Linked DNA regions of Tamandua tetradactyla. The protein of the gene in region 1 interacts with the protein of each later gene in a pairwise test. Links are inferred from orthologs where the notes say so. Each region holds a gene or a part of one and is shown in the gene's direction. Other genes may lie near its edges.

Region 1 (7,888 bases):
CAGTTATTTGTAGTTATAACCATGGATTTCACTTTGTGGGACACTCCACCAATATCTTTTCTGAAATATGCCATAAGGAGGAGTAAAGGGCAACTTGGGAAACTCCAGAAATAGATCAAGGAGGGTTTGGATTACACGGAGAACATTCTGAAGACTTGTATTGCCACAGTGCCTTTGCAGCATCACTATGTTCAGAACACTCATAGGAAAGCCTTAAGAAAGAGCAAATGTGTCTTGAGGAAGAAATCTGTACAGTAGAAAAACAGGGTTTTACTTAAGTGAAAGCAGAGACCAATGCTAACAATAGAGCTTTGTGCCATTGACAGAGTGTGAAAGAGAGAACCTATATTACATTGAGACTTGTGACATGGCCTGCCAACAGAAGTGAATGAGGTCAGTGTTCGCTGCTTTCATCTACACAGCCACAAAGGTAAAGGTAACACTGCAGAGTATATTCCCTCCAAGGAGACCTTGACCTCATGTCTCAGCAAGCTTGACAAGACTCACTAAATACCACCTTTGTCTGAGACAGTTATGACCAGTCTTAGCATCTTCTCCTCTTCTATAACCCCATGACAAATCTAGGTGGCTTAAAATCAAGAAACAAGGACATGCATGTGGACCATCCCTCCAAGCAGCTCTAAAGTAGGGCCATTCACATTGCCCTCCTATATGCCCTTACCAAAATTCCCTTGACATAGCTGTCCTCAAAATAACTTTTTTTTTTTGCATGTTGAAGTGAAGGAGGTAATGTACCATAGATTTTTAAGTTTGAATAATAAAGATGTGGAGTTTTGTCAAAGTATCTTTTTAAGATGCCATCATGAACATCTCACTTGTCCTTTTTCAGTGTACTATAACCAACAGCTATTTTTCCTAATAGAAATGTCAGCAGTCATTTCCAATGAAAAGATCCTGGTTTTGCATCCTATTTGAGGTGGTCAGACACATGATACTAGCTGGCAGTGTAATTATTTTTAGGTTCTTATGAATTACGGAATATATACTTATTCTTAGAGATTACATGCTTTTTTCATGCTTTCAGTTATGTTAAAGAGATGGTGGAAATGTTATTTTGGCAGAAATCATTTAATTAGTCTTTCTTGAGAATAAGAAATGAATTTGTTCGAACTTTCTTACTGTAAATTGGAAATCATCTTAAAGATAAAAAAAAAAGAAAACTCTCTTAAAATTAAACTATACCTTCATTGACTCCCTGTTTTCTTTATTTCCTGATGAAGGCACTTATATTTGGCTCTTACCTATTTAATAATTCTAGAAGTCGAGGGAAAGCTTGGTGTTTAGTGTCTGGTCTGGTCGCTGACAATGCCAAGGAATTCCCCTCTTAAGAGATGGAATTCCATCATAATAAAAAATACCTATTTCTTTCTCTCTTATCCTTTATTTTTAAATTGGCTTTGATAACTGTAGAGGTATTTCTATTTCTCTTCACTCAGAATTCATTCCGGGGCCCTTGGCTGCCTTCCTGGCATTTTGCCATAAGTAACTCATGCTCAAATCCAAGCTCCTTCTGTGGCTTCTCCAGCAGAGGCCGCAACTTTAAAAAAGGGAAGAAAGGCTCCCAGAAGACTGTTTTTACGAAACTGAAAAAAAAGTCTTTTATTGTAGTAAGTTAATTACTCTGCCTGTGATCCTAATAATAGACATGGATGAATTCCCACTCAGGAGAAGCTGAAGAAGGCAGAGAGGAGTTGAGTGTTAAGTCAGACTCCAAGAAAAAGAAGCATCAGAACCAGCCCTGTGATTCATCTGAAAAGTAGAAACATCAGGTGCTGGGGAGTCAAGAGGAAAAATAACCTCCTCTGGGCAAGTGGGTAATTGAGGATAGGGAAAGTGCCTAGCAGCCTGAAAGGAAAATGCATCAGTGAGGAAGTTCTACACGTTATGGCAGAGGAGGTAGAAAGTCTAAATCCAGAAAGTCAAACCCAAGTTCAGAATTTTTTACTTTAAACATACCACATTGAGGGCCACAGTGCAGTTCACAGCCCATAAAACAAGTCCAGATTTCTAATCTCAGATAAGCTGGGTATACATTTTGAGTTCTTTGTTATTCCAATAGCATCATGCCTTAGCGTTATCCTTATATTTCAGCTAAACCTTCAGCAAAATAGGAATATTATATGTGCCCTTATTTCCAGAATTGACAACCAGGTCCTAAAACTTTTTTAAAAGCCTGGTAATTAAGGATCCAAATGCAAAATTGTATTTAATTCTTGCTATATCAAGATCTAATCCCCATTTCTTGGGCTGCTAAATGTAATTACATGGTTTTATATTTTTTATCAAAATTTCCAGATTTTAGAAAGAATATCTATTTAATTCTGATGCAGGGAATTAAGAATTTAACAGTAAATTAGATGGTCTTTTTTTTAATGTTGATGCAGTTAAGGAGAAGGTTCATCATAAAATCGGAGGTGGAAAGACAAGGTTATTCTTTGTTCAGAGGCCAGAATTCTACCTCAAGTGTACACTGGCCAACAAATCATCCCTCTTATCTTACTTAGCTTAGCTTAACTGAGCTAGGAAAGATGGTTGATGCATACCTAATTTTCCAACTCCTGGTTCTGTGCTCTTCTTTGTGGTTGAGCTGACTTGGCTGGGTTTTTCCTCTGAGGTCATCACTCATTTATCCTTCCCCTATAAAATCTAGTCTCTAAAGAGCTGACAGACACTTCTCTTTCCATCTTTCCTGAGAACTAAAAGAAGTTCACACAGCTCAGTTCTTCTCAAAGACACCTCATCTGTGCATTGTGCTTGTTTGCCCAACTGGAAAAGAGGAAGAGAGAGAATAATTGTTATGTCAGTGTAAAACCTTCCTTGAGGATAGACTAGATAAACTGGGCAAAAGGCTGAGTTCTCACGCAGCCTCTAGGATTTGGATTTTGTTGGTTCCAAGAACCTTGAATAGATGCCCGTTCCATCATGTGTATGCTATGGAAAGATTTGTACAAAGGCAGGTCTGAAAGCCTCATTCTAATCCTTTGGGGATCCCCTCAGTCGTTCTGGCTTCCAGGGCCCACCATTGACCATACCTGACCTGTATTAATCTCATATATTTCTCACTCTCAAATATCCCTCATTTTACAGTGACTACAACAAAAATCTTGGATTTCAGATGAACAAGACATGGGAATAGGCCATCTACATCATGCCATTGTCCATTTAGGAGGGCCTTTTAAGCCCCAAAGAGGGTCATTTACTCTTTCCTCCTCTGCTTGCTCTTGTTCCCATGAGTGGCTGGTACAGATAAGGGCAATCAGTAGAACCTGGCTGGGAACACATGCAGGTGCTGGAATCAGGAGAGGACCCAGGAGAAAGGGATGGCGTTCAGGGGATGAAACAGCCCAGATTTTTGCTGGTGTGTGTATGACTGGTCTTCAGTTCCTCACTGCTGTGTCACTGTCAGCTTCCCCAATAGAGAAGTCCAAACTCGTCGAAAGGGACAGTGCTTTCTTTCCTAATCCATTCTGATCTGCTTGCTCAGTTCCCTTGGCAGGAAGAAAACACTCCTGAGAGTACAAATAAAAAACCAGCTCAAAGTCTACCTGAAAATTCATCCCTGAGAAAAAAAGGAACAATAGATGCCTTTCCTTTATCTAATGTAGGGGGACTGAGGCACAAAGCTGAGGAGGCACTTAGCTGTTTAGGGTAGATCACAGCAGTGTGTCTGGTGTGAATACCAAACTCCCAGGCCCAGATAAAGACACTCCTCAAGAAGGAGTCCATATTTATGTCTTCTGGGATCCCTGGCTTCCCTTTCCCCACTTAAGAAATGTAACAGTTCTCTGCTGGACCCTATTTACCTAGCCTTCCTTTATAATAAAAAACTACTGAAGTCCACTTTCCGTTCAACCTTCCTGTTGGTGACAGGTTAGTTTTCAGTGTGACCTGCATTCCTGCATGAAAAGCCACCTTCTTCCCTTTTGTGTGAAGTCCCACATTAATTGGTAGTCTCTTGACTAATCATCCCTTAGGGTGGTTGGAATGGACAGACCTCTGCTGACATGGGTGCTATTAAGGGATAATCCACAGAACTAAAGGTGGTAGCCTCCAGGAGTGGAGAGGGGGGCCTAAGATACTGGTGATTGGGATCTGACAGCTAGGAAAAACAGCAATTATGTAACTATGTTTACTATGGCTGAGGTGGCTCTGAGAAGGCAGAGGCAGTCCCCTGACAAAAGATAGTGCCAGTGCTCCTTTTATCTACCGTACTGCTCCTTTTATCTACATTATGACAGACGAGTAAAACCTATGGAATAAAAGTAAATAATAGGGGGAACAAATGTTAAAATAAATTTAGTAGATTGAAGTGCTTGTGATCAGTGAAAGGGAGGGGTAAGGGGTATGGTATGTATGAAATTTTTTCTGTTTTCTCTTTATTTCTTTTTCTGAATTGAGGCAAATGTTCTAAGAAATGATCATGATGATGAATATACAACTGTGTGATGATATTGTGAATTACTGATTATTTATGTAGAATGGAATGATCACATGTTAAGAATGTTTGTTTGTTATGTTTTTTAAAAATTAAAAAAAAAAAAGTGGCAGAGGTGGGGAGGAGGCAAGCTCAGGGAAGGAGGTCCCTGCATAAGGGAGTCATGCAGAGGACACACTGCTTTTGGATTAAAGGAATCTGTTCTGCTGTTGACAACAGCCATGTTATCTAGGACAGTCTCCTCTATCCTCAGCCTCTCCCTAAAAAGATGCCAACTGGGAAGTCAGGCCAGCAACAAATAGCACGAAGACAGAGGGAGGAGTTGAGAAATCAGACACCTGGTTTTGGGCTGTCTCTGAACCTTGCTACTCTTTTTTCCCCCTTCATCTCCCACTTTTCAAAGAGTAGGGATTCTTTTCCCTAAACATAGGCAGAACAGGAGGAAGTAGTCAAGGTTCCTTGTTTTTTTTCCTGCCCTATGCGCTCACCAATCCCTCATCCTCTCTTCTATGAGGTCAGATGGGCACCACGGAACACAACAGACAGTCCCCATTATAGGCCCTCCTTTGTCCAAGCAGATAGTCTAAGGTGCTGGGAAGGAAAATGATTTTAGCTGGTGCTAGGGCAAAGCATGTTCTGACCTGAGAGAAAAAGCCATAAGCCCGGCAGAATCAGCACCTAAGAAGACAGGCAGAAGTCAGAGCAGCTTAGGGAAAACCTCAGGTCTCCATCAGGGCCTGCCCCTCCTCCTCCTACGAAGCCGTATACTCCATATTTCCATAGCGATGAAACTGGTAGGCAGTTCCCAGCTACTTGCTGATGGCTGCCACCTCCCTTTGTGACAAACAGGAAGTTGGGACCTTTGTCAGCTCAGCTGCAACCTCTAGGTTAAATATTTATCTTGGAGCCCAGGTCAGAGCCCTAGAGAATAAGGGAAGCTTGCTGCTAGTGAGAAAGGGTATGGCCAGGATTCCTGGAGTCATAGGATCTTCAGCTTCACTGTCTTTGGAAAACAAGGAGGAAAATGAAAGTGATGTGGCCTTTCCTAGTGCCAAGGATCCTAACAGGTGGGAAAAATTGGTGACTAGAGAAATGGGCACATACATTGTCCCTAGGGAGAGAAAAAATGGTCCCTAGGGGTGGGTAAGTACTCAAGCTTTAGGAAAGGGAGGGATGCTCCACTTCCTGCCCTTAAGTTTCCTGAGCTCCTACCTTCCTTTCTGTAGCTGTCTTCTATTATGAGTGGCTCTCAAATCCATCCCCTTCCCTTCATCTTTCCTAAAGAATCATACATTCTTACAAGGAAACAGTTTCCTTCAGCCCCCTGCTCAGTGCAATAATTGCCTTGACAAAAACAATCCACAATTGGCAGACTTGGAACACTTACAGTTATTAAAGAACACTATCTTGGAAGGCTTGGATTGCTTTCCCTATAATTTGTACCCAATGGTCCCACTTCTGTTAGCAGAAGTTGCACTCCCACATAGTGTACTTCCATAGAATGCAAACATTGCTGCAGTCCCACAGACATTGGAAGTCAGCCTGCACGCCCTGTCTCTCAAGCTTCTCCTTAGCCTAAATATCTCCTTTCATATTTGATCCTGTGTCAAGCCCATCCATTGCAACCAGAGATAATTCTTTTAAATGAAGTGAGAAAAGATAAGTTAAAAGCTAATAACATCAGCGGTGGTAGGGATTTAAAATAGCTTCATTCCCTCTCCCTACTCCCTTCTGAACTTTTGAGTTGAATAATATACTTGAAAAGCCTTCTGAGGACACTGATCTTAAAACCCAGTAGGCATGCAATAAATGTCTCCTTACTTTGACACTTTATAACTATCATCCCAAAGAGGGTCTGAAGTTGCTGTTTAGTTAGTTTAGGGCTTAGGATTCCAGAAACAAGCCAAAGGCTAGAAGTATTCCAGTCTGTTTCCATTATCAATGAACACTCATTTAGCACTCTCACTTTCGGCAACAGGCCCTGTGCAGACACAGGACTTGGAGGAAAGGTGGGCAGAGAAGGGAAGGCCACTAGGGTCAGGGAGTCAATGGGCAGGGACTCTTGGAACCCTGGCCAGAGATGTGGGAACAGAGGAAAAGCAGCAAGATCAAAACAAATCCCGTGTATGGGAACAGTCAGATCCTCCAAACCTCATCCCGGCCAGAAGAGACCCCACCCTCATCCTCTTTCGGGAGGCAGCATGCCCTGTGTGCTGCTCGCCTAGGCCAATTTCCTCCAGGGGCTGTCTCCAGGGTACCTGCACGTTTGCGAGCCATGTGTGTGTGCATGTGTGGGGTTTGCACACGTCCGAACGCGCGCTTACGCAAGCACAAAATCTCTTTTTCCTAGTGGGGAGGGAGCCAGCCGGGCCTTAACTCATTCTGCTAAGGACTCCCTGTGGGGCGCCCTCCGCTTATCTCGGTCCCAGCCAGTCTGCATCTCCTGCGGGTCTCCGGCCTCTCGAAGTTGCCGCCTCCCTATCAGTCGTTGGCCGGCCCGGGCTCTGGAGCCCACCGCTCGCTGTCGTTAATCACTTCTGCCCTCTGTCCTGGCTCCGCAGTGCAGCAGCTCCCTTCCCACACTCTGGAAATGTCGCTGGAAACTCTGAGTGGCTCTGGCTGGCTCTCCCGTGTCCCTCCCGACGCCAGCCTTACGGTGGGGGGCCGGGGGGAAGGCAGCTGGGAAACCAGAGCGGGCTCCCCAGGGACCCTCGGGCGGCGCCGCCTCCCGGCCGGCCCGACCTCCCCGGCAAGGGGCCACCAGCGTCCCCGCGGCGCGCCCGGCCCGGCCAGTGCCCCGACGGAGGGCACTCGCACGCCCTCAGCGGCGCGTCCCGGAGCCTCCGCCCCGCGAGGCGGGAGAGAGGGAGTAGCCGGGCCCTCCACCCCACCCCTCGGCAAACAGTTCAGATTGGAAACACTAACTCCGCCGGCCGCCCTCCCTCTTCCCCACTCACGTTCCCTTCCTCCCCGCGCGCGCGCGCTCACTGTCGCCCTCTCCCTCCGGGGGCGCCCAGCCCCCCGCAGCCCCAGCCCGGCCGGGTCACGAGGGCAGGGAGCGCACCTCGGACGTCTCCCCGGCCGCTCGCCGAGGGCCCACAGCGGCCGCGCCTGGCAGGAGCCGGGCCGAGATGCTCCTGCCCGCCCAGGCGTCCTCAGACCCCGCCACCTGTCTGCCCGGGAAGGTAGGTGCCACGGAGGGGAGGGCGGGCTAGGAGGCGGAGGCCGCAGGCGGGGAGGGACTGGGAGGGAACTCTGACCTGTGCCAAACCCGAAGAGGAGGCCGCCGAGCCGCTCCTCGTGGGGTCCCCAGAGGTTCCGCGTCCCAAACTCTGGAAACTTGGGTGGAAAGAGGCCATTAGCTCCCACCCACCCACCCACCGCCCCAAGCCGGAAAAGGAGAAATTTGAGAAAACCTTGTCCTTGTCCACG
Region 2 (7,438 bases), on another chromosome or scaffold:
ATCTTGAATAGGGTGTAAGATCTTGTTGGTTTGTCCAGGTTAGTGTGATGCCTCAATATACCCCAGAGTAATCAGAGGAGTGAATAAAGAAGTATTTGGAAGGTCTTCTTGGAAGACTGGGGAGAAAGGACTTCCCCATTTGGAGAATTACTGATATTCTCACAAGCTGTGAGGACAACCAAATCAATAGGCTGAGCCCTCCTTCTTGGGGTTTGCCCCTATGAAACTTATTCTGGCAAAGGATAGGCTAAGCCTACTTAAATTTAGGCCTAAGGGTCATCCCCAGGGAACCTCTTTTGTTGCTCAGATGTGGTCTGTTTCTCTAAGCCAATGTGGCAGGTGAACTCACTGCCCTCCCCGCTATGTGGACATGACTCCCAGGGGTGTAAATCTCTCTGGAAACATGGAACAGAAATCCCAGGATGAGTCAGGAGCCAGGAGAAAGCCTTCTTGACCAAAAGGGGGAAGAGAAAAATGAGATCGCAAAGTTTCAGTGCCTGAGAGATTTCAAATAGAGTGGAAAGGACATCCTGGAGGTTATTCTTATGCATTGTATAGATATTCCTTTTTAGTTTATGGTGTATTAGAGTGGCTAGAGGGAAGAATCTGTTGAGCTGTGTAGTAGCCTTGATTCATGAAGATGATTGTAAAATGAAATAGTGACTATGATTGCGAAAATCTTGTATCTGTTGCTCCTTTTATCCAGGATATGGACAGATGAGTAAAAAAAAAAAACATGGATAAAAATTAATAAATAATTGGGTGATAAGGGGTAAAAAGTTGTTTAGATTGAAATACTAGTGGTCAATGAAAGTGAGGGGTAAGGGGTATGGAATGTATGAGTTTTTCCTTTTCATTTCTTTTTCTAGAGTGATGCAAATGTTCTAAAAATGATGATTGTGATGAATACAAAACTATGTGATGATATTGTGAGCATTGATTGTACACTATGTATGGACTGTATATGCATGAAAATTTGTCAATAAAAATAACAAAAAAAGATTCCCATGCCCTCCTGTCAATTCATCAATAAACATATTTTTAAGATAGAGCTTTTAGGATTTAGTGATGGATCAGCAGTGGGGTTTAAGGGAAACAGAGGAATCAAGGATGATGCCAAAGTTTTGGAACACTGGTGCTCTGGGAACACTGGGGAACACTGGTGCTCTTCAATATTTAAAGACTGGTGAGGGGTAGAGGAATCAGCCATGGTGCCTACTAAGAAAGGGGCAGACACTGATCCAGGAATGAAATGTCATTACTTCTTCTAGGTGTTTTCTGGCTAGGATGTTTATATTGCTTTCCTAATTCAAATTCTACTTTTCAGGCATTTTTTCCCTTAATTCCTTTATATCTAGTTGAAGCTTGCATATGAGTAACCTCCAGAATAACCTCCTGGCTCTCTCTGAAATCTTTTAGCCACTGATACCTTGTTACATTTCTTTCCCCCCTTTTGGTAAGGTATTCATTGTTGATCCCATTGTGCCAGGGTCATGACTCATCCTTGGGAGTCATATCCCACATTGCTAGGGAGGCTTACATCCGTGGACATCATGTTCCACATAGGAATAAGGGTATTGGTATTTTGGTGTATTAAAGCTTCTGGAACGCAATATACCAAAAACGGATCAGTTTTAACAAAGGGGATTTATTAAGCTACAGGTTTTACAGTTCTAAGGCCTTAAACATGTCCAAACCAAGGCATCCAAAGAAAGATACCTTGACTCCGAAGAAAGGCCAGTGTCTATCACATGGGAAGGCACGTGGCTGGTATCTGCTTGTCCTTGTTCCTGGTTCCGTTGCCTGTAGCTTCTGATTCCAGTGGCTTTCTCTTTAGGCGTCTGTGGGTCCTGACTTAGCTGCTCTGGAGAAGAACTCTGGGTTTCATCTCTTACCTTAGTGTGTCATGGGAAGGCACATGGTGACATCTGTTGGGCTCTGGTTCCCGTATAGCTTCTGTCAGCTCTCTCAGCTCCTTGAAACTCCTGAGGCTTCTGCATTTCCAAACCTTTGTGTCTAAATTTTCTCCTAAATGTTTCCATGTGTCTGCTTTTTAATGTCTCCAGTAAAGTAATCAAGATCCACCACATCTCCACCTAATGAAAAAGTCACATCCACAATGGAGTATGTTACATCTGCATGGAAATAATCTAATTAAATGGTCATACACAATTGGATATGTCACATCTCCATGGAAACAATCTAATAAAAAAATCTCACCCTACAATATTGAATCAGGATTAGAAGAGCAAGGATTTTTGGGGGGTACATAACAGTTTCAAATCAGCACAGAGGGCAATGATTTTACTTGGGGTGGGGAGGGAGAGAGAGAGGGAGAGAGGCTACATCTGAGCAACAAAAGAGTTCTCTGGAAGCAACTCAGGGACCTTGATTTCTTTTTTATTTTTCTTTGCACTCTGAGGAGTACTATTTCAGAAGGGCTGCAATCACCACATTGGGTCAGTTTAAAATAACCTATGGGGCTGGCCATGGTGGTGCAGCAGGCCCAGTTCTTGCCTGCCATGCCCGAGATCCAGGTTCATTTCCCAGTGCCTGCCCATGCAAAAAAACCCAAACCAAACCAAACGAAACAAAAAAACAAACAAAAAACCAAGAACCTATGTGAAGTATTTAGCACATATGACTTCAAATCTTTTTTTTAATTAAAAAATCTTAGTGGGATATTTCTAATGACAATACATTGAAAAGAAAATTTAAAATTTACTCTGTGGTTTTATTGTTAGTGATAACATTGGTACAGTAATTTTGTAAAATAATTGTTTGTAAATCATAGGATAAAGCAAATACATTTATTATTGTTCAGAAGTAGCTTAGGTATTCTATGATCCGCATTATTCCATCTACCCAGTGGCATACACAAACTTCCAATTCTGTTTTTCCCTTCCTTCCCTCCCCTCCCTTCCCTTCTCTTCCTTCTCCTTTCCCTGACCGTCTATGCCTTCTTTATGATTTTTCCTTCGATTTCTGTTTACTAGTGTAATTTACCATGATCAATTTTCAATACTTATACATTTATGGAACACTAGAAAATACCAAATATTAACTTTTCATTTTGTATCAGGAATGTGTCCTGGAAACCCTCATCAGGTGTAACTATTTTTGTTCCCATATACAACACTCCCTCTCCTACCATGTGGTGGTTTGGAGCAGTATGTATCCCAGAAAAACATGTTCTTCAATCTAATCCATTCCTGCGTGTGTAAACCCATTTTAAGTAGGAATTTTTTATGAGGGTACTTCAGTTAAGGTATAACCCACCTCATTCAGGATAGGTGTTAATCCTCTTACTGGTGTCTTTTATAAATAGCATGAATAAGGAGAAAAAGGCTGTGGAACCAAGAAGCTGAAAGTAAGGAAATCTGGAGGAAAAGGGAGAGACCAACAGAAACTGCCATGAGCCTTGCCATTTGTCAGAGGAGCCAAGGAACTCTGGCAGCTGGTCTTCCAGAAGAACGTATGGCTTGATGATGCCTGGATTTGGACATTCCCATGGGTCTCAAACAGAAAGCTAATATATTTCAAGTGTTTAAAGCCAGCCCATTTCATGGTATCTCCTTTGAGCAGCCTGTGAAACTAAAACACCCCAACAACAAAGACAATAAAATATTTCAGGGCAGGAATCATCATCCTTCATTGACATATCTACTTACTTCATTCAGTTCTAAATACATACAATTGAATGAAGAACATTCTCCACTGAATGAGAAAGAAGGCTTTCTAAATTGTCAAGTACTCTTTTAAAGAATTAAGATGCTTATTTCAGAGCAGTGTGTCATAAGTCAGGTGTTTTTAGGAAATACGTTTTGGATCATCGTTTAACACTTTACATAATAACTGCTCTTTTACTATATTCACGTTAATATCTATATGAAACTAGTAGCTGCGAAGGGCTATTAGTTCTGGTAATTCTGACAGAAGTCCCATTTTTAATCCATTTTCGTACAAGCTAAGTGGTTGGAGACTACTAACTAAAATTATATAAGACAAATTATGCCATACCGGCTCTTCCCTAACTAACAGAATGATGTCGAGCAAATCATGTCTATGTTTCCTAATATGTATAATGCGAGCTGATATAGCGCTTATAGTTTGCAGGATTGGAAACGGGTATTAAAAAAATAGAAGTGAAAGCACTTATACTGTATGAGACGTTACAGAAATGCGAGCATAATGTTATGATCATCTGTCTAATGGAGAATGCCTAAGCATAAAATAGAAAACGTTAAGAAACATCTATATTTGTATTAAAACACAGCGACAGAACGGCAAACGCAGAATGCGCGTGCGCAAAAGATCCTGCCCGGGAAAGAGTCTGGAAAGAGGAGGTAGGCGGGACCCACGCTCTACTATCCTCCTAACTCCGCCCCGCGAACAGGGGTTTGCGCGCAACGTCACGCGAGCTCTACTTCCGCTTCCGAATAGTCAGTTTCTCTTTTTTCCTGTCTGGCTGGGAACATGGCGTCCCGCAAGGAAGGTACCAGCTCCGCTGCCTCTTCTTCCACCACCAACACCGGTGCAGCCGGGAAAGGAAAAGGCAAAGGCGGCTCCGGAGACTGGGCTGTGAAGCAAGTACAGATCGATGGCCTGGTGAGTTGGGTACCATCTCTCTAGGTCCACGTGGGGAACGTCGTTCCTAACTCCATCCCGCCAGACACGTTTCTCTGCCGCCGCCTCTCTAGGTTTGATGTGAATGGAACAAGGTTTTTTATTAGCACCCGCTCCGTGATCTCACTTTTTGTTGGGAGAGATGCGTTAACCTTCTTTGCTTTTTGACAGGCGAATTGAAGGTTGAGAAATGGGGCCGAGGCTAGGGGTGTATGTGACAGATCCTTGGAGTCTTTTTTTGAGATAGCTGGGAGAAGAGACTTGGAGAAGGACTGTTGTGGGAGACAGGCAGGTGATGGATGTGTCGAGAATGATCTAGGATCCTGATATCGGGCTGCTGAAAGGGCAGAGTAAGGGAACCTTTCATTGCTTTCCTGCTGGGACATGACATCTGTAACTTCTTAAGTGGAGATTTACTTTGTAGCTACTCTTGTCTTTGGTTCAGCGCTTTTCCCGAAAACCTGCATAATTGGAATAAACTTTTATGAAGAACTTATTCTCAAGAACATAAAAGACATCTAAGAGAAGTACACGTATTTAGTGGTTAAAGTTCGTGAACTAGAACATCTAAGGAAATCCTTAATAAGGAAATGGACTAAACAGGGAAGAGGCAAATCTAAAATGATAAGAAATTTAATTTTTATTGCTTCTAAGCAAAATACATACTTGCAGCGATCTAGCTTTTAAAGCATTTTGCTTTGAGAGCCTTTCTGCTTCTCTTAATCTTTATGTTTTCTAGTGCAGACCTTAGACATTGTAGTAAAGAAGTAGCTTTAAATTCATTTGAAAATTTTATTTTACTGGGCTTTGTAAGTGGAAGTGAATAATTTTCGGTCCCCCACATAGTTGAATCTTTGAGTTAAACTATTTAAACTTTTTAATATTATTAGTTAAATTGTGAATTCACAGAACAATCATGAATAAAATACAGGATTCCCATCAACTACCTTACCACCAACACCTTTCATTGGTGTGGAACATTTGTTATAATTAATGATAGCACATTTCTACAATTGTACTGTTAAAAGTCCATGGTTTAACTTAGGATTCATTGTTTGAGTAGTGTAAATTGCATGGAATTTGTTTAAAGTTTGTTTTGTTATGATATATACAATCTAGGAATTTCCCCTTTTAATCATATTCAGATATATATTTCAGTGCTGTTAATTTTGCATGCATACATGTTTTGCTACCATCATCACTATCCATTACCAAAACATTTCTGTTTTTCCAAATAGGAACCCTGTACATTGTAAACCTTAATTTCCCATTCCCTATCCCCAACCAGCCCCTGGTATCTTATATTCTAGATTCTGACTCTATGAGTTAGTTTATTCTAATTGTCTCAAAACAGCAAGATCCTTTAATATTTGTCCTTCAGTTTCTGGCTTATTTCCACTCAACATGATATCTTCAAGGTCATCCATGTTGTCCCATCTATCAGGACTTCATTCCTTTTTATGGCTGAGCAATATTCCATTGTACGTTTATGGCACATTTATTTATCCATTTATTGGTTGATGGACATGGGTTGCTTCCATCTTTTGACAGTTATTAATAATGCTGTTACGGATATCAGTGTGAAAATATCTGAGTCTGTGATTTCAATTCTTTGGGGTATATATCTAGTAGTGGGATTGCCAGGTAATGTGGTACTTCCTATACTTAGCTTTCTGAGAAACTGCCAAACTGTCTTACATAACAATTGTACCATTTTACATTGCCATCAGCAATGAATGAGTTTTCCTAGTTCTTTGCGTTCTCTCCAACACTTGTTATTTTCAGCTTTTTAAAAAAAATAGCAGCCATTCTAATGGAGATGAAATGATATCTCATTGGGGTTTTAATTTGTTTCCCTGATGGTTAGTGTGTTAGTTTGTTAAATGCTGCTGGAATGCGATATACCAGAAATGGAACGGCTTTTAAAAAGAGAATTTATTAAGTTACAGGTTTACAGTTTTAAGGCCATAAAAATGTCCAAACTAAGGTATCCAGAGACAGATGCCTTGACTCAAGAAAGGTGGATGTCTGTCACATGGGAAGACATATGGCTGGCATCTCCTGGTCCTTGTTCCCAGTTCTCTTGCTTCTAGCTTCTGATGCCAGTGGTTTCCCCATAAGCATTTTTGGGCCTTCACTTATCTCCTCTGGGAAACAACTCAGGGTTCTGGCTTGTTTCTCATGGGAAGGCATATGGCAATTTCTGCTGGGTTTTGCCTGTGTCTAAATGTCTGCTCTCTCTGTTGGCAATCCATAGATTTCCAAATGTCCATGTCTGTGTTGGCTCTGAAACAGTTGTTCTCCTACTGTCTGCATCTGAAGTTTCTCCAAAATGTTTCCCTTTTCAAGGGAATCTATTAAACTAATCAAGACCAACGTTGAGTGGGCAGAGTCACATCTCCTAATAAAGATCACACCCACAGTTGGGTGTGTCACATCTCCATGGAAACAGTGCACAGTTTCCACCCTACAATATTGAATCAGGATTAAAGGACATGGCTTTTCTGGGGTGCACTGCTTTTTCAAACCAGCACAGTGAGTGATATTGACCAACTATTCATATACTTTCTGGCTATTTGCATATCTTTGGAGCAAGCTCGGTTCAACTCTTTTGACTTTTTTTTTTCTTCCTATAGGCAACACATGGCCTTTAGACCTAAAGAAACTTATATATATTACAAATTGCCCTCTGCTTTTCCATATTAACCAAGATTGCAACTGACAAACCACTGTATTTTATTAAGTACTTAAAACAGCTTAACTCATGATCCCCCCACTTAGAGGTGAAAAAAAGAAACTTAATTTCTGTCCT
Region 3 (7,057 bases), on another chromosome or scaffold:
AATCCCAAGTGTGAGTGTAAACAGTGGGGGTGGGAGAGAAAGGGGCTTTGTCCACACGGTTTTCTGTGATGTCAAAACTAGAAGGGCCCACATCTTTCTCTAACTGAAAAGGAAACTAAAACCCTGAGAGGAAAGTGACATTCCCAAGGCCACAAAGCCATTTAGTGGTACGGTTGGGATCAGACACTAGTATCCCACACCCACACCTCTCTTCTGACTGCTCCAATTCTGGGTGCCAACAGAGAGAGGGAGAAAGTAGAGCAAGTGGCCCATTCCGCTCTCTTATTATTACTGGTTACCAGTAGTTTGGAGTCAACAAAATATACTGGGTAAAGACATAATAATAAGGTAACACGATTATTTTTCCAGAAGATTTCCATAATAATAACTAACATTTGTATAGTGCTTTACCACTTAACAAGCACCTTTACATATAATTTTCCATTTAATCCCCACAACCAAAGGAGAGATTATTGACCCATTCATTTTTCATATGAAACGTGGGCTCAAAGATGTGTCATTAATTTGGTCTTGGTCATATAGCCAGGAAATGGTATGATTAGAACTCAGACCAGATCACAAGCTCTAGAATAAGGCAGCCATTCATTCCTCACTGCACCTCAAAGCCTAGCCCATTGAGTATTGATGGTGCTCAATTAATATTGAAACACTAAATGAACCTCAGGACTTCTTTAGATTCTTTAAGTTGTTCTCCACAGACCTCTCTAACTAGGGTTGTACCACTGCAGGGACCACGTTTATAGCCCAAGTGAAAGAGATAATGTAGACACAAAACCCACTGAGCAAACACACATACATCCAAGTCGTACAAACACAGAGATACACTCTCTGTACTTGGAGATTGTCTTGCAATGTTTTTTTCTACGACCTGGACCACAGGCCTAGACAATTAAGGAAATGGGGCAAGAGAGCAGCCTTGACCTGCCTTAGAAAGAAGAGCCTGCAAGTGGACTTTCCCAACTGGCCAACACTGTCTGCTTCTTTCTGGGGCCAAAAAAGTGTCTGGAACAGCAGAGGGCGCTGCAGAGCCAGTAGGCCTGGCCTTTTACAGGGAACCCTGTTCAGGGGCCAGTGAGGTTCCCAGAGAAAGCCAGGGGTCTTAGGTAGCCTTCTCTGACCTCAGGTGTTCTGTGATCCTATAGCAATTTCTATTCTTTTCTGCCATAAACCCGAATGATACCTGAAAGGTAGCTGGTGGAAGGAGGGAAAAGGATAAAATCTTGGGAGTGAGAGCTGGTTCTGAATTCCACTGCACCTTTTTGAAATGTGTGAGTCTGGGTAATTAAATCTCTGAGCTTCTGTTTCTTCACGTGTAAGAAAGGATATTCATTCCTTAGTGCAGAATTAGAGGTTAATTTATATCAGGAACTTCTTATAAGACCACTCTGTGCTTATGTATCAAGGGCTACTCTGCTCGGCATGATCTTTGGCACTGGAGATTTCATAATGGGCAAAAACCAAACAAGACCCCTGTCCTCCTGCAGCTTACAGTATGCTAGGGATGACAGGCTTTAGTCAAAAAGCCCCACAGAGAGATGATACATTACATCTGTGTAATTTAGTGCCACAAATTGGTGGTCTCACAAAGGAGCTGGAAGATGGGGAAGTGCCCAGGCAGAGAGATTTCCCTAAGGAAGGGAGGAGTGAGTTCAGTTAGAAGGGCGAGTGGGAGTTTACTAAGCAGAAAGAGGGAGAAGTCTTCTAAAGAAAAGGAACAGCTTATGTAAATGGCCATATGGGTGCAAGCTTGACACAAGGCAGGGGTGGGTGGGTTGGAGGAATGGGGGGAGGGAGGGGTCAGGGACGTGGGCTGCCGGAGAGAGAGAGGGAAAAGAAGCTTGGTGGGAGCTGTGTCAGAAAGAGGCAGGGGCCAGATCACATCTGGTCCGTAGGCCACCTTAAGGAGTTTTGTCTTCAGCTTAAGGACGATGGGAAGCCAGAAACACATTCCATTTTGAAATGGTCCTCTGGCTGCAGGGTTCACAGTGGACCCTCAAATCTAGTGGCTGCCCTTATCCTTGACCCGCTTCCCCTCGATGCACCCTCAGGTAATGAAGTTGCTAAGTTCTGCTGGTCCTTTCTCATCCCTTTCATCCCTCAGCATCTCTCTCTCTCTCTTTTTTTTTTTTTTTCACATGAGCAGGCACCAGGAATCGAACCCGGGTCCTCTGTCATGGCAGGCGAGAATTCTTGCCTGCGGAGCCACCGTGGCCCGCCCCTTCAGCATCTCTCACAGGAAGTTTGTAATGGGTTCCTAACTGGTCTCCCTGCCTCCAGTCCCACCTCCTTGGTCTTATTTGATCCTCATAACATGCCTACAAGTAAGCAAAACAGCAGTTCTTCTCCCTCTTTCACAGACCAGAAAACTGATATCTACTGGTGCTGTGGAGCTGGCTCATAGCGCCTTGTAAAAGCCAACTGTTAAATTTTCAGGAAACACAGTCACTAATGAAAACAAAAATATGCAAACTTATAAATAAATTATATTAAAAACAGAAGTCATAAAATCTCAACACTCATCACTTTCTAATTGTTTTACTATTATGTATGCTCAGGGTTATTTATATCTATTGTATCTGCATGATGGAACTATTTATGTGATAGGATGTTACTACTCATGTCTTCCTAGCTCTGAGTTCAAAATTCATGTTGAAATTAGCCAGAGTAGGAATACTTACACCATGGAAATCTGTAAATTCTACAAATCAGGGCTTTATTTATGGTTTTACTGATTGTTTAAACTTAGGCAAGTGATGGAGAAAATGTTAATTCAGATTTAAACTTAATGTGCCATGTGTAGCTGTTACATTGTGACTAGCGCAAAAACTGAGATATTTTCCTAGTATTTGAAACTGTTTTCCAATTTAGCAAATTAGTTACTCCCATCATTGACAATCCAGTTAAGTTGGTCTTTGTTTTTTACACTTTCCTCTTACATCATGTTCCAACCAAGCTCTTGAAAAGCTTCAGGTCCACGCAGCCCCAAGAACAAAGAACATATTAGGTAGAGAGTTAGGCATGGATTTTATTGGGATTTACAAGCAGAAGATCTTTCCTGGTGGCGGTTGTCCAGAAAATGGAAGTCAGTGCTCCACAAAAGGACGAGAGTGCGAAGTACAGCTTAAAAGCGTTTAGGACAAAGACATTCCATAGGGTATGAGAACTGAGTTTGAGCAGGGCCTCGTGATGCAGGGGTCTGGAAGTTTATCAACAGCCATCGGAAGGGCTTTTTAATGCTTTATGATACCATCTGTACATTAGTTTCACCCCCGAGGAGGTCTGATGACTTTTAGCTTCTGTCCTGCTCATTGCAGGCAGCTATGTGCAGTAACTTATTCTTAGTATGGAGGGGGTCCCAGCCCTGGGACTCCATATATTAACATAGACGGAATTATCAACCAACATTTATGGTGCAACTACAGTCCTTGGTCAATTGCAACCAGAGGTTGACAATCCATACAAGAATTTGGCAAAAATCAATGAAAACATCGTGACGATCAATTGCAATTTTATATTTTTATTATTTGTAAATAGTGAGCTACATATCCTTCACATCAGTAAAATGCATATGCCATCCCCATCTCTTGAGCCAGCTGTTAAACATTCAGCAACACACCACTAGGTCCAGAACACATTATTCCTGTAATCATCCAACAAATATTCACTGGCTGCCTGGGGGACACAGATTAATGATGAAATGACCGAGCCAAGGTCACACATCCCAAGCGGCATAGGCAGAGCGAGAACTAGAGGCTCTCTTCTACGACCAGACCAGGCTTCCTAGGGCCGCCTCACTTTACCGAGCGGGGTGAACAGGGCCCGGGCGCCCGGGAAGCGAAAAAGCAATGGTCGGGTCAATTGACCAACCACCAGCCGGTGAGCTAACGGCCAATTAGTGGTCCTTGGAGCGCGTAACGTCAAGCGCCGTGGAGGCCCCCGCGAGCGCGCCCTGAAAGAGAGGGGCGTGACTACAGCCTTCCGGAAATGACGCTAACCCGGGGGGCGGTCCTTGGCGGCGGCGGCGCGCGGCCTGGACTCGCGCTGGGCTCCGCGCGTCCCCCGCCCCCCTCTATGAGGCAGAGGCCGCGGCGGCCGTTCGCGCTGTCGCTCCGGGGGCCGCGGCGGGCGGGGCTCCGGCGGGGCCCGGCCTAGTCCCCACCCTAGCCCGGCTCGCAGCCGCCCTCGTTCCCTCCCTCTCCCCGATGCAGGGGGCCGAGCTACGGGATGGCGAGGCGGCGGCGGCGGCCGCTTCGTACCGCGTCCTGAGCCGCCTGCTCGGCTATGGAGAGGCGGCCCCCGAGCCAGGCCCGCCGCCGCCGCCGCCGCCCCCGGGCCATGGCCCCCCGCCGCCACCCTTCCTCGCGCGACCCGGCCCTCGGGGCTCTCGGCCGCCGCAGCTGATGGTTTTCCGCAACGTGGGTCGGCCGCCGGAGGAAGAGGACGCCGAGGCGGCCCGGGAGCCCGGACCGTCGGAACTGCTGTGCCCTCGGCATCGCTGTGCCCTGGACCCCAAGGCCCTGACGCCGGGCTTGGCGCTCGAGCGGGCCTGGGGCCCGGCGGCTGGACTAGAGGCACAGTTGGCGGCTCTGGGGCTCGGGCAGCCGGCGGGGCCGGGGGTGAAGACGGTTGGTGGGGGGTGCTGCCCGTGTCCGTGCCCCCCGCATCAGCCCCCTCCGCAACCCCAGCCGCCTGCTGCCGCCCCGCAGGCCGGGGAGGATCCCACGGAAACGAGCGACGCGCTGTTGGTCCTGGAGGGCTTGGAATCGGAGGCCGAGAGCTTGGAGACTAACAGCTGCTCAGAAGAGGAGCTCAGCAGCCCGGGACGCGGAGGAGGAGGGGGTGGCCGGTTTCTGCTGCAGCCCCCAGGCCCCGAATTACCCCCAGTGCCCTTCCCGCTGCAGGACTTGGTCCCTCCTGGGCGCTTGGGTAGAGAACAGCAGCAGCAGAAGCAGCCTCCCCCGCCCCCGCCTCCACCTGCGCCCCTCCGGCCGCTCGCTGGCCCTTCACGGAAGGGGTCCCTCAAAATCCGCCTGAGTCGCCTCTTTCGCACTAAGAGCTGCAACGGTGGCTCCGGCGGTGGAGATGGGACCGGCAAGAGGCCTTCTGAAGAGCTGGCTGCTTCAGCTGCGAGCCTGACAGACGTGGGAGGCTCTGCGGGCCGGGAGCAGGACGCGGGGAGGTGAGACCGTTTGGGGGGGGGGGGGGGCTGGATGAGAAACTTCCTTTTCTTGTGTCGTTTCCCTTTTTTTCTACTGCTAACACTTAACCCTGCCAAGTCTTAAGATGTGGTCTTCGTGAGGAGGCCTAAGGACTGAAGAGGGTGGCATTTCCCGTTAGATCCGGGCCAGAGCTAGTGGTAAATTATGGAAACAGTTTTCACCAAGAGTTCACACCCCAGGACATTTCACGACGGGTGTGCACCTCTCTAGTTTAGAGATGATTTGAACATACCCCTATGAGTTCCCTCCATCGCCATCACCCCCTTCAAGCTTTTCACATTTTCCAAGGTGTCTACCACTGCCCCTGGCAGGGCAATTGCTTGAGATGTTTGGCCTTTGGAACAAAAAGCACAGCTTGCATCTTGACCACTTTGCTTATTCTCTGTGTACCAGTATCCCACCCCTTCACACTCATCATAGAAATGATGTGGACTTTTGCATGACCTGCACTACTGAGTATTTTAACGTTTCCCGGTGTTCCCTTAAAGGTACTTGATATCTCAAGTATGTGTGCTGACTACTATCTGTGAGATTAGAAAACAGCTTTGCTCTCAAGCCTATACAAGAATTCTAAGTATGAGGTATGGGAATTGATACATAAATTCTAGGCCATTAGATGAAAATTCAAAACAGGTATCAAGTTGCCTGTTTTCCTGCATCTCTGAAGGGTGGGCTTCTCTCTTGTCATCCAGTGTTCTATCTGTAGTGTTGGTTTAGAAAGCTGTTGATTTTTTAAATTGATATTTATTATATATTCATACCATGTAATCATCCAAAGTGTACAATCAGTGGTTCCCGACACCATCATATAGCTGTGCAATTATCATCACAGTCAATTTTTGTGTGTGTGAAAAATGACATATATACAAAAAAGCAATAAATTTCAAAGCACATCACAGCACTTAGTTGTAGAACAGTTTTATTTATTTATATATATATTGTAATTTTTAATTGATATTTATTATATATTCTTGCCAAGCTGTCAATTTTTTTATCAGTGAAATGAGACTCCATTGTGGTGACTGCCATCGTGGTTTGTGCTTTTGGGTGTGTTCTTAGAAAGATTTGAAATGGTTTTGGGTGACTTTTATGATGGATTTCCGAGGCATACCAGTAACCACCAGGAAGCATGCTTATGAACAGGTAGACCAAAAAAAACTGATAACCTCACTGCACTAGAATTAGTTGGGGAACTTTTGAAAAGTTCAGTATGTCTGGGGGCCTAAGAATTTGAGCTTTAAAAAAGCTTCCCAGTTAATCCTGAGCCATTACTACCTGGACTGGGAACCACTAATCTAGGAACTTCTCTTTTCAAGGGAACTTGGGTCCTGCAAGAGGAAAGTGTGGGGCTGATTTGACTTTGCTGCTACTTCTGAACACCTGTTTCATGGGCTCATCTTGGAGACTGGGTGAAACTCATACTCCCTAGAGAAATCAATAGGTTGATGTGTGTTGTCCCTTGAGGTAGGCAGATATTTATACATTTGACTCCTAGTGAACTCATGCTGAGAGCTCAGGACTTGAAAAGTGTATGGCTGTTGAAACAGCTTTTTTTGTGTGGTAAACACTGCATTTGATGCTCCACTTATCATATGGATGAAATTTTCATCAGATGGAGGGAAGGCCAGATTGAAGCTGTAGATAATGACATAGGATAGATTGCTAATTTTCTTGTGGTTTGTCTTGGTCTTTGTTCCATATTGACTAGGATTTAGTCTAGTATTCCAAAGACACTAAATATGAGGTGTGGCGTGAAATTAGCTGCTATGTCTAATAGATTAGGAAGAAGAAAAAGCATATTACATTATACTTTTTTT
Region 4 (7,803 bases), on another chromosome or scaffold:
GAGCTCCCATTTATTTATTTCCTTCTTCAGTGTTCTTGCTTTAGGTTTAAGGTCCATAAAACCACCTCCAGTTGTAAGATTCATAAGATATCTCCCAACATTTTCCTCTATCTAGATACACATTTCTTAACAGCTGTATTTCCCGAACTGCTGTTTCTTGGGTCACTTCCAGGAAATATTAATGGGTATACTACAAAATTCATAATTAAGTAATTTTAAGAAACTCTGCCTACTGTATTTTTCTTCTTGGCAATAGAGCAAGTCATGACATGTATAGACTTTTAAGTCTTATAGTAAAGGAAATTTATAGTAAAGAAATTTGTCTTAAGAAGACACTGATTTCATTCTGTGTTCCAGGAATCATCCATTGAGAAAAGGCAGAAATGGATGCCTGTGTAGGCCTCCTTCTTGTTCTCCAGAAACCCCACTCTCTGCTTCTGTTCCAGGGCACAGGAGGAAAGTACAAGTCTGCTGAGTGGACTCCGTATCTGGCACACCCAGCTTCTCCCTGGTGGTCTCCAGGGCCTCATCCTCAATCCCGTCTTCCGCCAGAATCTCCGCATTGCCCTTCTGGGTGGGTATGTCACTTCCATCTCTTCCCAAGCTAGGACAGGATCTCTTCCCAAACTGCAAATTAAACAGCTGGATGGGGAGCTTCTGAGAGACCTCCCTAGAACCTTGTGGGCTTCACCTTTGGGAGCTCCTTTAGGAATAAGTTGGACCAGGGTGTAGCTGCGTGGTGAAGGAAATATCCCTCATTCATGGCCCATTGGGATGAGGGTGAAATGTGGGCAGGGGCGGCAGGTTCCTTACTCTTGGCATATCCTGGCCATAGGGGGAAGGCCTGGTCTGATGACACAAGTCAGCTAGGACCAGACAAGCACGCCCGGGATGTTCCCTCACTGGACAAGTATGCTGAGGAACGATGGGAGGTGAGGACTTGAGACTCTGTGTCTCTGCTTGTGTTCCCACTTACCCATGGCCCTTAGAGGTGTTAGTCTCTCCATTCTCTTCTGTTATTCAGGTGGTGCTGCACTTCATGGTGGGCTCCCCCAGTGCAGCCGTTAGCCAGGACTTGGCTCAGCTCCTCAGCCAGGCTGGACTCATGAAGAGGTGAGGAAGCCAGAGGTACAACAGCTCCCTGCTTTACCATCTCCTTGAGTCCCTGCTAAACTGGATACCTGGAGTGGGTCAGGATTGGAGCAGGTCAAATGAAAAAGGAAAGCTGAGTAGAGTAAAACCAGAGGTACCAAGAAAAAATGTGAGGGAGCAAGTGGGAATGGTGGCCTTTCTCTGTATATCTCCACCATTGTCCCTCTGTGTGTCCTAGTACTGAACCTGGAGAGCCACCCTGCATAACTTCTGCTGGGTTCCAATTCCTACTTCTAGACACTCCTGCTCAGCTCTGGTACTTTATGCTGCAGTATCTGCAGACAGCCCAGGTGAGGAGGCCAGGGGCTGCTTACCAGTATGCTATGCTGTTCCCAGGAACATTTTGCTGAGAGATCCCTGCCCTGATTTTCTTTTCTTTGTCCTCCCGTTCCCCTCCCTGCCACTTTCCTTTCTAGAGCCGGGGCATGGATCTAGTGGAGATTCTCTCCTTCCTCTTTCAGCTCAGCTTCTCTACTTTGGGCAAGGTAAGCAAGCAACTGAAGCTGAGAGCTTGGTAGGCAGATTGAGGGATAGGGAAATGGGAAGGGGGGAACGCAGTTGTGGGGCAATAGAGCAAGAAAATAAGAACAAATACCGACTGATCAGAGATGGGGCAAGTGGAAACAATCTGTGGGGTCAGGAGAGGAAGGATGGGATATGTTTTGGACACCAGCTGACCAAATTTCTTCCCCAGGATTACTCTGTGGAAGGTATGAGTGATTCACTGTTGAATTTTCTGCAACATCTTCGTGAGTTTGGGCTTGTTTTCCAGAGGAAGGTATGAGCATCTAAATGCATGGCTTCTAGGGAACAGTATGGTGGTGTGTTATCTTGACCTTTAAAAAGGAGGGTTGGGGATGGCTCAGGAGGCAGGAGCAGGAAGTAGTTTCCAGGACTGAAAACTTGGTTCCCCAGGGGAGAGAAGTTGGGGGTTGAGATTGGACTGTGAGGGATCTGATGTCTCAGGCAGGAAGATGTAGGGCAGTGACACCTGAGCAAGGGCCCTCTGCCCTGCCCTTCTGTCCTTTCCAGAGGAAATCCCGGCGTTACTATCCCACGCGCCTGGCCATCAATCTCTCGTCAGGTGTCTCTGGGGCTGGGGGCACTGTGCATCAACCAGGCTTCATTGTCGTAGAGACCAATTACCGACTGTATGCCTACACAGGTGAGGACAGACAGAGGACTCCTGGGAGAGCAGGCTGGGAAAAGCAGGCTTGGGGTGGGTGGTTGGCCGGAGGGGATGCCAATTTCTGTTTCCATTCACCTAGCACCTGGCAGTTTACAGAGTACTCTGACATTTCTCATTACACTTGAAGGTAGGGTTTGAGGGTGTCTGCATGTGGGGCTGTCCCTCCTCATTCTCTCTCATCCCTGGATCAGAGTCGGAGCTGCAGATTGCCCTCATTGCCCTCTTCTCTGAGATGCTCTATCGCTTCCCCAACATGGTGGTGGCACAGGTGACCCGGGAGAGTGTACAGCAGGCCATTGCCAGTGGCATCACAGCCCAGCAGGTACCCCACACCTGGGGGAGGTGGGGACCAGATGATGACCTGCACTTGGGTTGTGGGGAACAGGGTGATCACATTATAGAAAGCTGGCACCAGGTCTTTTACTGTAGGTGGTGGGTGGCTTGCCTTTGTTTGAACACTGGGCATATGAGATAGAGCTCTAGGTGTAAGAATAGGAAGACCCTTGAGAAGAAAAAGCATGGAAAGAGGAGGTATAACCCTGGATGTTATGTCTCAGTGTCACCACTTCCTACTGTGAAGACTGAGCCTAATTGTTTCACTTCTGTGAGCCTCAGTTTCCTCATCTGGAAAACAGAAATAATGACAGTCCTCACCTCATAGGGTTGTTGGAAGGAGTCAATGAGAGAATAAAGGTAAAGCATTTAGCTCAGAGCCTGCCATGCAGTAAGCGCTAAAAAAAAAAAAAAAAAAAGAAAAAAGCCAGTATTTTAAAGAAAGAAAAACAAAAGAACACTGGAAAAGGCAAATGTGCCAGAGAGGGAATAGCAGACATGACCAGTGGGAGCAGCAAGAACAGCAGCTGTACAGGAATGGGTCAGGTTGGCAACAGGCACAAGTATTGAGGGATTAGCTGTGAGTAACTTGATGTTCCTGTGACATTAGGTCAGGGAGCTTTCCTGCCCTCTTACCTTAGCTCTGATGCTATTCTTCTCTATTTTCCTAGATCATCCACTTCCTAAGAACAAGGGCCCACCCAGTGATGCTCAAACAGGTACACTTAAGATACTGGAGGCTGGCAACCTCAGGCACCTGGTGCTGAGATGATAGAAAAGAGAGAGGGGCATCCAAGCCTGGGGAATGAGAGAAGTGCTGGGGTTGCCTGGGGGCCCTATTCCTGAATCCTTACAGCCATAGTTCACCCCTGCAGACACCTGTGCTGCCCCCCACCATCACAGACCAGATTCGGCTATGGGAGCTGGAAAGGGACAGGCTCCGGTTCACAGAGGGTGAGTGGCTTCCATGGCTCAGTCTTGGTTATGGCCAGAGAAATGACAATTCAGTTTTGACTAACTGAAAAAAATTCTTCATGCATTTAATTTTTTTGTTAACTGCCATGAGCTGGGAGAGAAAAGCTGGCAAGACACTTCTATTTTGGGGTGGGTGGTTGGCAGCAAATAATGTGGCACAAACCGGCACAAGTTGAAACTAGCTAGAAGAGGAAAAGTGAGAGTGATAAGCTACAATAATTTTTGTTTTGTTTTTGTGCTATATTGCCTTCCTGAATATGGCTGGGTCACACTAGTTTTTTAATATTTTTATTGACAAAACACCATACAAACGCGAACATTCTTAACATATGAACATTCCTTACTTGGTGTACTATCAGTGACTCACAATATCACACAGTTGTATATTCACCACTATGATCATTTCTTAGAACATTTGCATCACTCCAGAAAAAAATAAAAAGAAAAAACTCATACCCCTTCCCCCTTCCCACTCATTGACCACTAGTATTTCCATCTACCCACACGCTAGTTTTAAGATGAGCCAGGAAGAGACAAGCATAGAGGAATAGTTTTAAATTGCAGCGGATTGCAATCCCAGACTTGTGGCCTGAGGCTGCCAGGAAGGGGCTGGGAAGACTCCTTGGGTCGCTAGCGCAGAGCCTCACGTCTGATTTTCTCCTTCCCTCCCGACCTGTGCCCCCAGGCGTGCTGTATAACCAGTTCCTGTCGCAAGTGGATTTTGAACTGCTGCTGGCTCACGCGCGGGAGCTCGGCGTGCTCGTATTCGAGAATTCGGCTAAGCGGCTCATGGTAGTGACCCCGGCCGGGCACAGCGACGTCAAGCGCTTCTGGAAGCGGCAAAAGCACAACTCCTGACCGGGACCGGGCGGGACCGGCAGCTCCTGAGTGCGGGGACCGGAACTCGGGCGAGCAGAGCCGGTCACGGCCTTAGGACTCAGGGTTGTTGTTATTGTTTGTTGGCTCTTTCTTTTTTTTTTTCGATATACACGTTGGTATTTTTCTTGTTTATTAATAAAATTGTGAAAAGGAAATGAGCGGCGCCGGCTCCTCCCCGCATCTACTGGCGCCGGTCGGCGTGGACTGCCATTGGGCCGCGGGAGGGGAGGGGAGGGACGAGGCCGGCTGCTGCGCATGCGCGGGATTGAGGACCCACCTCGAGGCCCCGCGCTGATCGCTGGTCACGTTACCGCGCGCGGCGGGCACCGGCGCTGTCAGGGCCTACGGCCGGCGGGTGAGAGTGCGCCGGGGCGGCTTACGGGAGTGGGGGGCGCTGCGGGGATCGGGGCCGCGCGGTGGAATGGGTGAGAAGGCTCGGGGCCTGGCGTACGAAGATCGCACTGACCCTGGCGGGACTCCTCGCCGGCTCTCGGGCATGCCAATGTCAGTCATATCTGAATTCCGCCCCCTCAGGTGTTGTCGGTCACCTCCGTGTCGTAGATGCATGGGTTGAGGGCCAAAGTCTCCGACTCTGCACCAAAGCATACCTCGTCTCCATGATTTCTGGGTACTGTCCCTGTCAATACTAAACTCCTAGAGGAAGGGTTTGTGTAGGAGAGAACGGATATTTAGAGTAACCACAGGGCAGTGCTTCTAGGAAGAAGGGCTAAAGAGGAGAGAATAGGAAGAGACAACATGTCTTCCTGATGTACATTCTGTCTGAAACAGATCTTGACCCGTTTCCAAGCACTCCTGATGCCTCATTTGTCTCTGGCTTCTTTTCGACCACCACTTTGGGGGCTGAGGCCTTCGTGGGGCCTCTCCAGGTCCCATGCCCTTTCAACCCAGCCGGAGCCCCATGGATCCCCCATCTCCCGGAGGAACCATGAAGCAAAGCAGAAGCGCCTGCGAGAGAAGCAGGCGGCCCTGGAGGCTGGGATAATCAGGAAGAGCAAGGTTAGGGGTCAGACAGCTTGCAATGTGGGTCTCTGAGAAGACTTGGGGAGGCTGGGGGAGATGGCTGCGATATGCTGGGAATTGCAAACCCTCCTTCAGTCTCTCTCTTTCCCCAGTCTCCTGCAGAATCTAGTAAGGCCTGGACTCCTAAGGAGAGAATATTGTATGAAATCCCTACAGAACGCGGTGAAAGGAAAGGTAACTGGGGAACTTTGAAGGCTTTTTCATTTACACACTTGTTGCTATTTGTCTGTTTAAATGCAGCATGGGATAAGGTTTGGTAATTAGTAGAGCTCTTCTCTGTCTCCACAGATGTATCGGGGTCGCTGCCTCCTGCGTATAGCCCCCAATATGTTGAGGCTGCCTGGTACCCCTGGTGGGTACGAGAGGGCTTCTTCAAACCAGAATATCAGGTCAGTACGTGGGAGGGAGGGGTTCTAAACTGTTCCCAGGACAGAGTGGCCTGTAAGGTTGGTGGGCACAGCTGACTTTCAGAATCTGGACCTTACAGCCACATTGCAGAGCTTGGTCCAGAAAAGACGAGCTTATCTTCTGCCCTTAGCATCTCCGAAGCTTTCTCTTGGCAGTTTCAACCCCCCACCCCCACCACTGCCCCCATTTGCAGGACAGTTCTTCCCTTAGTTCTTTCTGCCTTGAGGACGCCAGGGGGTGCTGTTCCCTCAGGTAACATCCAATCCTTTCCTGCCCTTTGACTTCTTTTAGGCCCGGCTGCCACAGGCCACAGGAGAGACCTTTTCAATGTGTATCCCACCCCCTAATGTCACCGGCTCCCTGCACATCGGCCATGCACTCACAGTGGCCATACAGGATGTCCTTGTGCGCTGGTGAGAGGGGCTGGGGGCTTCTTGAGTTCTTGGAAGGCAAGTAGAAAGTAGGAAAAAAGTGAGGATAAACATGTAAGCTTGGGCACTCATGTGGGGGGGCTTCTGTTGCAGGCATCGGATGCGTGGGGATCAGGTGCTATGGGTCCCTGGTTCAGATCACGCGGGCATCGCCACGCAAGTATGTCTTTTGCTACCTTTTTCTTTTCTTGTGTAAAAGAGATTTCCTTCTTTTCTTGTGTAAAAAAGAGTTTCTCCAAAGCAACCTGGTTCTCTGTTCATTTGCCCCCTAATTCTAATGTAGGCTGTGGTTGAGAAACAGCTGTGGAAGGAGCAGGGGATGAGGAGATACGATCTGAGCCGGGAAGACTTCCTTAGGGAGGTGTGGAAGTGGAAGGAAGAGTAAGTGGGATGGGAAGGAATGGAGGGGGCTGAGATATTTGAGGCTTGGGTCCTCAGCTACTTTCTTTCCTAACTTGTAGTCTGTGGCTCTCCCAACCCCAGTCCTAACATCCCTTAGAAACATAAGGTCTGAGGCCCCTTAGCACTTGCTGAGATTCTCCAGCCATTATGTATGTGTGTTTATGTACCTATATATGTGTGTGCATATATATACAATATATAAATATATATATACATATGCTTTTAAATTTTTTTCTTTTTCTTCTACTTATCCCATTTTACCTTGTGTAGATTTTACCAACCCTCCCACTTACCCATTCCCACTTTCCATCTGTTGAAATCACTTTTATTCTTCCAAGTCTGTTACCAAATGCCATCTTTTCTATGAAACTTCCTTAGATTTCACACATATTGGCTGCCCCCTCCTCTGTTATTGTAGAACTTTATGCTTGTTTTAGTATCATAGAAGGCTCCTTACTAGGTCTTGTGTTTGTCTCCAATAGCTTCTAGAGGCTGGGTCCATGCCAGACCTACTTTTTATTTCCCTCCAGCCCCCAGCATTGCTGGGCCTGGTACGTAGCAGCTGCTTGGGACGTGTTTGCTGACAAGTATTCTCTCTGGGAACAGGAAAGGTGGAGAGATCTGTGAGCAGCTCCGAGCTCTGGGGGCCTCCTTGGACTGGGACCGAGAGTGTTTTACCATGGATGCTGTAAGCATTTGATGCTTTGGTCCCTGCGGGTGTTGGGGTGTGGGTGGCGTTTAGAGATTTCTGCAGGCGAGAGTGTGGGCAAGCCTGTGGGTGAAGGGCTGTGAAGGGGCTGTGGATGTGAACGCTTAGGTCATTCTAGGGCTCCTCAGTGGCTGTGACTGAAGCTTTTGTGCGACTCTACGAGGCAGGGCTGTTGTACCGGAACCGGCAGCTCGTCAACTGGTCATGCTCTTTAAGATCAGCCATCTCGGATATTGAGGTGAGGTGGGGGAAGAGGAGAAACAGGTCTGTGGGAACTCTGAGGC

Evidence for each region.
Region 2: the proteins of SORBS3 (region 1) and EIF3H interact in binary tests that used the Homo sapiens proteins (3 or more experiments, as listed by UniProt). The two-hybrid records come from large-scale screens. The link is inferred for Tamandua tetradactyla from reciprocal best matches to the Homo sapiens genes SORBS3 and EIF3H.
Region 3: the proteins of SORBS3 (region 1) and SOCS7 interact in binary tests that used the Homo sapiens proteins (3 or more experiments, as listed by UniProt). The link is inferred for Tamandua tetradactyla from reciprocal best matches to the Homo sapiens genes SORBS3 and SOCS7.
Region 4: the proteins of SORBS3 (region 1) and VARS2 interact in binary tests that used the Homo sapiens proteins (3 or more experiments, as listed by UniProt). The two-hybrid records come from large-scale screens. The link is inferred for Tamandua tetradactyla from reciprocal best matches to the Homo sapiens genes SORBS3 and VARS2.

Annotation. Positions count from the first base shown.
Region 1 is NC_135329.1:23,326,753-23,334,640, forward strand, and holds the start of SORBS3 (vinexin), read left to right. Parts: upstream 1-4,870; 5' UTR 4,871-5,275; coding exon 5,276-5,523; intron 5,524-7,473; coding exon 7,474-7,641; intron 7,642-7,888. UniProt on the Homo sapiens protein: Vinexin alpha isoform promotes up-regulation of actin stress fiber formation. Vinexin beta isoform plays a role in cell spreading and enhances the activation of JNK/SAPK in response to EGF stimulation by using its third SH3 domain.
Region 2 is NC_135332.1:161,029,708-161,037,145, reverse strand, and holds the start of EIF3H (eukaryotic translation initiation factor 3 subunit H), read left to right. Parts: upstream 1-4,426; 5' UTR 4,427-4,476; coding exon 4,477-4,608; intron 4,609-7,438.
Region 3 is NC_135332.1:28,756,605-28,763,661, reverse strand, and holds the start of SOCS7 (suppressor of cytokine signaling 7), read left to right. Parts: upstream 1-4,040; 5' UTR 4,041-4,223; coding exon 4,224-5,200; intron 5,201-7,057. UniProt on the Homo sapiens protein: Substrate-recognition component of a cullin-5-RING E3 ubiquitin-protein ligase complex (ECS complex, also named CRL5 complex), which mediates the ubiquitination and subsequent proteasomal degradation of target proteins, such as DAB1 and IRS1.
Region 4 is NC_135331.1:85,843,612-85,851,414, forward strand, and holds the start of VARS2 (valine--tRNA ligase, mitochondrial), read left to right. Parts: upstream 1-4,789; 5' UTR 4,790-4,883; intron 4,884-4,938; exon of another isoform or gene 4,939-4,953; intron 4,954-5,062; exon of another isoform or gene 5,063-5,156; intron 5,157-5,317; 5' UTR 5,318-5,344; coding exon 5,345-5,545; intron 5,546-5,661; coding exon 5,662-5,743; intron 5,744-5,857; coding exon 5,858-5,958; intron 5,959-6,268; coding exon 6,269-6,390; intron 6,391-6,501; coding exon 6,502-6,568; intron 6,569-6,691; coding exon 6,692-6,789; intron 6,790-7,416; coding exon 7,417-7,498; intron 7,499-7,637; coding exon 7,638-7,757; intron 7,758-7,803. Other genes in the region: GTF2H4 (general transcription factor IIH subunit 4), read left to right, coding at 447-578, 836-932, 1,025-1,113, 1,331-1,442, 1,569-1,637, 1,847-1,930, 2,185-2,317, 2,533-2,663 and 3 more. UniProt on the Homo sapiens protein: Catalyzes the attachment of valine to tRNA(Val) in a two-step reaction: valine is first activated by ATP to form Val-AMP and then transferred to the acceptor end of tRNA(Val).